2 linked regions of the Drosophila melanogaster genome follow. The protein of the gene in region 1 interacts with the protein of each later gene in a biochemical or structural test. Each region holds a gene or a part of one and is shown on either strand. Other genes may lie near its edges.

Evidence for each region.
Region 2: of the proteins of Pdp1 (region 1) and dco, one has a biochemical effect on the other in vitro, tested with the Drosophila melanogaster proteins (one study listed by BioGRID).

Annotation. Positions count from the first base shown.
Region 1 is NT_037436.4:7,831,124-7,835,261, reverse strand, and holds the start of Pdp1 (PAR-domain protein 1), read left to right. Parts: upstream 1-2,188; 5' UTR 2,189-2,708; intron 2,709-3,434; 5' UTR 3,435-3,683; coding exon 3,684-4,138.
Region 2 is NT_033777.3:31,059,501-31,063,100, reverse strand, and holds the start of dco (discs overgrown), read left to right. Parts: upstream 1-1,890; 5' UTR 1,891-2,024; exon of another isoform or gene 2,025-2,636; 5' UTR 2,637-2,726; intron 2,727-3,600. UniProt on the Drosophila melanogaster protein: Serine/threonine-protein kinase which is involved in the circadian rhythm pathway, viability and planar cell polarity.

The sequences.
Region 1 (4,138 bases):
GTGGTAGCGAAACGTGATAATACGAAATACAACAACTGACAACAAAACAAACAGAAAACCTGACAACGCCGCTGTCGCTGCCTCTGCTGTCGTCGCGGTCGACGTCGTTCTCTGTCCATGTCGACGTTGGCAGATTTTCCCGGATTGGTTCCCTATTCTCGGCTTCACTGGCATATAAGCCTGGCCAATAGCAAAGCTCTGCCGCACATCCTTCTGTTATTGGATCCCGAAGCAAACTTCGTTTTTTCCTTCGCTTCGGAGCTTCGGATGACTTGTTGCTTTCCAAAAATAGTCACTGGCTGCACGGGGCGTATACTCGATATTCCCAGAATTGACCCGCCTGGGTAAAACAGGTGACTGAAGTTCGCTCTACCACATGGTCCATGGTTATGCCAATTGATGGGTTTTCAGGGCTGACTGGGTTTCTCAAATGCAAAAAAAAAAGAGTTTTGTTTAACCGAAGAATAGCACAAGGCTGAAAAAAGGTGGGCGACTTAACAAGTTTAACAAGTAGAAAAATGGCGAGGATATTCTTGGAATTCTTTTGAATTGGTTTAACGAAAGATGGAACCTTACAAATTGAATAAGTCTTATATATTTTATTTATTTTATATATTTCTTTATTTATATATTTCTTAAATAATCCATGTAATTGTAATTCAGTTTATTTGCATTTTTATCAGAAATGTGTTTTTATATTTTATCTCAAATTGCTTACTGCTCTGATTCATAGTTATAAAATCTTCGATGATCATTGGGTAAGTATTGAGTGTATTATACAAAACTTCTAAGAAAATTTACCGGACCTATGCCAACAGAGAGCAATTATTATAATTATTTAAACTTGATTAAGCCCTCGAATAGTTTGAATACTTTTTGAAATTTCCAAGAAAAACGGCGACCTACGGCAATAGTTTAGCGCCTTCGATAGAATGCAGATTAAGTATACGCTCCGTTGCAGCTACTACGTCGTTTCATTGGGTTTTCGCCCAGAGTGTTAAGCACTCAGCTTCAGACCCCCCCCCCCCACCACTCTGCCCCATCGGATCTACTTACTGGGAATGACGCAGCGGTAATTAGTTGGTGGCACAGAGGCAATCCTTTGGAGCACATTACGCATACGTCACGTGTTGCAGACGCACCAGTGCCGAATTAACCGAATATTGGCACGGCAATTGGCCAATCGGCCACGCACTCCAGCTGATGTGTAAAGTCTAGTGGCCATAGGTACACCCGTTACAGGGGGACAGACATAGCGCTCTATTGCGAATCGACTGGAAACTTTTGAGTTGCATTCGTATCTCTATTTGTCACCCTATCGGTACGTGTATCTTTGAGTGCGCTTGTCGTTCAACGTGCACTCTCATTCTCTCTGTCGCTCTCTCTCAATTAATTTGCGTATGTGTGTGTGCCCGGTGTGTCCGCAACACGTGCTTAGAACTGTGCTAGACAGTGGGCTTTGGGTCATATTGAAATCCGCGTGACTTGGCCGCAGCAGCGCTCAGCGCCTCAGCGGGCGTCGCAGTTCCAGTCCCCCAAGTATATACAAATAACTACAGCTATGTCCAAGATAATAGCAATCATTTAAGAGCAAGAAAAAAATGTTTTAAAATAATAAATTTTGTTACTAGAATATTATAAGTAATGTTGAAATAACTGAGATAAAACAAAGTTGCTTTAAAAAAAAATATTATTAAGTTCTTGATAGATAATTAGATATAAGAAGATAACATAGGTTTAGTCCTAAGTGAATTATAATTTATAATAGATTTGATACTAAATCTGAGTCGAAGTACTCGTATATGAACACTGTTTAATATATACCAAGAACTGTACTAAAAATACCTATGGCACTTGAATTGATTAATATAGTAGTAATGCTAATCATTTTCCCAGTGCTGTATGTAAAAATATTTGTTGTACATGTACAAATATTTTGCGCTACCAACATTTGATAAAAAAAAGCCAGTTAAACAATTATCAAAGTAGGAGAGGGGTTACTGTTTTCGGACCTCCGCCCTTTACGTAAGCCGACTTACTTGCAGAAAATTGCAATTTTTAGCTGGCTGAGAGAGCGGTAGCGGCGACTGCGACGTCGACTGCAGCGACGACTGCAGCGGCGGCAGAGGAAAAGCAGAGACGGACATTGAGACCGAGAAAATTACTCGGCCGGCATTCTGTCGCATCGCGTTCTCATGTGAAAATCGTCGCAGCTCGTTCCGTGTTTTCGCCACTCGAGCGGGAAAATCAAAAAATATTTCTACGCTCAACAAAATAAATTAATTGAAATTGATTTTTCAAGCAACAGAAATAGTTCTAGAAGAACTATAAATCGAGGAAGTCATTTTTGTTTTATCAAATTTCAAGTGCAATGGGTTCATTGTGAAATCAATCTAAAGTGTGTGTGTGTGTGTCATTCGAATAATTACTATTATTAAAAAAGAAATAAATACGCAGAAAGAGAGAGAGAGATCGAACGAGGCAGAGTGAAAGAGAGAGATAGAGAAAAAAGCGAGAGATCCGGAGATCTCTCGAGAATCTTTAAACAACAGCGCTAAAGTTACGGATCTAATTTCAAACAGTTTAATTTACTTTTAATTTTTCTACAAAACAACAAACTTCAAAAAGAAAAATACGAACCAGCAAAACTCAAAGCAAAAAACGATCTCATATCCAAGCGCAGCAACAAATTCTGAGAATAAGAAAAGGTATTCAACAAAAGGCTGAAAGGAAGAAGAGTTATTCATCAATGAAAAGGATAATTCAATTGATTTGGAAAATAATAATTTATTTGTTTTGATTTATATATAGAAAATATTCCAAATTTACGTTGAAATAATGTTAAAAAAAAAAAAACATTGGAAGCCTTTGACTCGGTTGATTTGATATACAGTTTAATTGGCAAATAATTATTAGTTTGTCTCGTTTTAAAAGTGAAGCAAAAACAATAAATGACCGTGAATGTTTTGATTGCAAAAATTCCATAAAGAACACGGAAAGCCTTTGTACCTATTGATTCCACTTTAAGATTTCTATAGCGTCACAAAAATCTTATTATACAAAATTGATTGAACTAAAAGAAAGCGCAAACTATACAACTATACAATGCCTTTTCTTATTCCTTATCATCATGATCATCAATAAAAACTAATGGAAAACTAAATAAAAATCATACAAAAATAGACGAAAACAAAGTGCATTCCCTGACCACACGAAAACAAGCGCATTCATTATCAGTTGCTATCAAAATCGCTTCCCCATCATACTCAATACTCACTAATAAAACTGAAAAACTGAATCATTCCCAACATTTTTCACCCACCTATCACCTGTTCATTAGCAACAACGAATTGGCTATCAATTGACTGGCAAATAAAAAACCAGCAACATACCAAAGTGCTCAAACACTAATCTGGGTTTTTCAAAAACAAAAGCACAATATTTTTTTCAGATAACACAGACAAGCGTTTATGTTAAAAACAAAAAAACTAAAGTGAACCCAAGTGTAAAGACAATGCGCACAACTTTTGGCCGTGGCCCAAAGTTTATACTGCTGACCAGCAAATTTAATCACGTTCAGCACAAGGAGGTGATCACCTAGGATCATCAGAAAACAGTGATTAACCGTAACCAGTGAAGGATAACCCAGTGAATAACGTACCCAGTTGTTGAAACCAGTGATCATGTCGTCGGATACGAATTCGTGTACTAGTTTCTTTGCCCAGGAGCACGCGAATGCCACATTGTCGCAGTATTTCCAGCAGCTTAACTCGCACGTTGCTGCTGCAGCGGCGGGCAATAGCGGTGGCAACAGCAGCAGCAGCAACAACAACAACAGCAGCGGCAACAACAGCAGCAGCGGCAACAGCGACAGCGGAAATGATGGCAGCATGACAGGATCATCGGGAACCATGGACAACCATCGCAGCAGTGTTAGCAGCAATGATTCGGGCAAGAGTAGCGCCACAGGAGGCGGCGGGGCAGGTGCCACCAGCAACAATGGCGTGAATGCCTGGGCCTTGCAGCAGCAGCAACAAACCGCCGCCCTGCACCATCAGCAACAGCAGCAGCATCAACAGCAGCAGCAACACCAACAGCACCTACAGCAACACCATCAAGCGCACCATCAGCATGTCCT
Region 2 (3,600 bases), on another chromosome or scaffold:
TTTTAACTGCTGCGTTAGAAGCAGAAGCCCAGGGGCGTCGTGCAAAAGGGGGCGGGGCAGTGGGAGCCGCGAGGAGCTGGAAGCGCCCAGATATGCGACATGTGTTGCGGAAATATTTTGCGAGCAAGAAAAGCAGCAAGGCGCAGAGTCAGGAAATATGCAAAAATACAAAAGGGCACTGCAAAAAAATGAGTGATTAAAGTTTTTCAAATATTATTCAAAACCAGTACCAGAGGCAGCTAAGTCTGTCGTCTGATTCGTATTTTTATTTAAAGAATAATATCAAAAACAAGTTTATATTGCGTGTTAAAAAAAAATACAACAAAATTAGGAAATAAATTGTCTTAGTATCCCAATAATGTGGCATACTTTTTTACAGTGTTCTTTGAATGGATCATTTACATACACGCGTCTCGCTCGGTTTTTATTGCTTCGCACCTACATATTTGGTTTACTTTTTTCGTTATTTATTTGTTGGTAGTTGACCATCGGTCGAAATAACGACGATTTTCATTCGTCGGCGATCGCACGTCTTTGCGTGTGTGAGTGGGAAAGATATGCTTTGAATTAGTGTGTGTGTGTGAGCGGTTAAACGAGTTGTTTTCTCGTTTTACTTGTTGTATCTTCAATTGCCTCGTTGGATTGCTTTGTTTTCTCTTTTTCCCAGCCAATGGGAGACAAAGGCGGGTTTTTACGAAGATCTTGAACGATTCACCAATAAATTGAAAATGGAGATTTCTATAGTTGCATAAAAAAAATGCATTCTGGCTAATGTATATAAATACAGCAATGGAAAATTAAAATCGTAGGCAAGTGCAATTAATGTGATTTATTTTGTCTATATTTCATTTTAAATTGCCAGCCCCAATATCGAATCGTTACACTCTTTTCACCCCTTTTTTTGTTATCATTTTCGAGTGATTGCTTATCTACCCTACCCCCACTTAAAAAGAAACACACCTTGGCACATACTCCCAAAAAAAAAAAAACACATTTTCTCATATATGCATACATAACTGGATCTGCTTCCTTTTTTTATGTCATCGTTTCTTGGGTTACACAGCCGGAAAATGCACGATGTGAGGGTAAATGGGGAAAGCGGTTGGGCGGACTAATGGAATTCACACGTGTTTTGCTTTATTCGTATTGCTGCAATAAAAGTATACGTTTCAGGTATTTCGATACATCTGTGTAACATCAAAATTGGCATGCTACCTATAACTGCAAGACATGCCAATGAAATCCATTTTCAATTTCTATTTACACGAGAATTTGGAGCACAAGCCTGTAAAAAGAGTTAACAACTTTTCTTAAGAACATTGCAAATTAAGACATAAATTTTATTTACATATTATTGAGTTATCAAATTTGTATATTAGTATAAATATCATTTCAGAATGATTTTTTTTTTTTTGTATTGTTTATTGTATTCTCTTTGAAAATAAAATTAAGCAGATGGGCCTTTGAATGCATAATTCAAAAACTTTCAATAACTTTAGATATTTTCAATTGCATTTCTGAAATAAGGCGCCACCTTTTGTTTCGGGCGCCACCTGGATACCACTTTCGCCAACTCATCCGCTAGGTGGCGCAGCTCAAAAATATTTTTCGTCCATCTGGCAGCACTGGGTCTATGTAAGAACTAGTGTGCCCATATAACAAAAACAGCGTTGTCAACTTGGCTATTTCACAGCTTTCCAGTTACTCGAACTTTGAACTTATGGCTAGCTGCAAGGATATAATTTCGTTTTTCTTTTGATTTTCCAATACTCTTGCGCTATTTTCTTAATGTGGTACTTCGAAACCAACTTTGGACTATCTTAACTTAGTATATGAATCACAGTTTTTCACAATTACATATCTTCTAGACATTCGCTGAGGAGTAAATACCAGATGGTAATTTTCTTCATTATCGGCGCGGTCACACTGCGAATATCAAGATGGCGTAAATTTGTAAAAAATCGTCGAAATCTATGTGAAATAGCCAGAAAAATTGAAACGAAAGCGCAGCGTTGATGCAAAACGTAAGTGGTCAGTAGCGTTTCGGATCGACAGACCCGTTTGCGAGCGAAAAAGCGGCGGTTACCACGCGCAGGAAAACTCGAATTTCCCAACAGCATTTCAGTGCTCATTGAGAGTGCGAGTGTGTGAGTGAGTGCCCTCGTCTTTGTGTTGGTGTGAAAATGCTGAAGCAGGAGGGATAGCAACGTGCTCGCGGTAGAAACCGTGCGAGTGCGGGCGGGACGACTAGTGTGCACGAATCTATTGCCAGGGCAAACGACTCGCATAAGTTTGGTTTTTTTAATAAGAGTCCGAGTTCCGTTTGGTTTCGTTTAATTTTCTCGAGTTGATTGGCAACAAGATGCTAATCAATGTGGCCATAAAATCAGAGAAGAACAGCATAACCGACTCGAAGATAAACGATAAAAATAACTGAAATATGGCAGCAATGCAGTATTATTAAAATTATTGCATAAAATGCGCTTGCGTGTGGCCCCAAAAAGTGCGACTGTGTGCGTGTGTTTGTGTGCGACTGTGGCAACTACAACAAAAACAACGTCTGGGCTCTAAAACAAAGAAAATGAAAATTATTGTGGCAGAATCAATCCAATTAAAAAATTCGATTTCGATTTCAGTCGAATTAGAAGAAGGAAAAGCAGCGTCGCCAGCAGAGGAAGTGGGCAAAGCGGAATAGGAAACAAGGAATATAAGAAAAACAAGCCACGGTAAGTGCGGAATTTGTTCCACTGTGCGTTCAAGTTTCCCTTCTCCACCCGCTATCGGCTGCTCCTTATCAGCCCCGTTATTCGCAGTGCATTCGTGGAGTGCCGTTAGTTTTCGGAGGCCATTAGCGTTTGACAATTAATTGCAAGTTTCCTTCCCCTTCTGAGGTTTCCCCGTTGGTTTTGCTCTGGTTTTTGGTTTTTCCATTTGCTCTTCCCTGTTTACTTAAGCTTTTTACTTTTGTGGCGCCTGCTGGAACAACTGTTTTTTGTATCTTCTTTGTTCTCCAGTGCGTTTTTTTGCGGAAGCTTTTCGGCAGCCGCCAACGCAACGTGCAGCTGTTTTGCAATTGTAATCAATTCGTGTTTACCCGCTGGTCCGAAACAACTGCTGGATACCCTGGGAAATATTTAGTTACCAATAGGAAAGACCGCGTTTTCCCTGCTAGCCTTCCAGTAAACAAATTAAAGCTCCTAAAATTAATACCACATTTCAATTTGACTTACAGTGCTTATACAGTGATTTCTTTCTGTGTAGAACATGGGAGATACAAATAAAAAACGGTACATTTCGGTTAAATAAATCAAAGCCAAGGCGAAAACAACAACAAACACAGGCAGGTTTTGAGGTTAGAACCGCAGAGTGAGTGATAAAGAGTCGGGAAAAGGAGGAGAGAGAGAGAGAGAGAAAGAGAGAGAGCGATCGAAATGCGTGAGCGGTAAAAGAAAGCGCACAGAATGTGGGAAAGAGGAGTGGGAAGGGGTTAGTGAGTGAGAGCCGCCGAAAACAATTAAACTAAATTTTTGTGATATTTGACCGGCAAGTGAAAACTTTCGGCTTGTTGCTTCGTTTTCTGACTTCCATGCGCTTTATCTT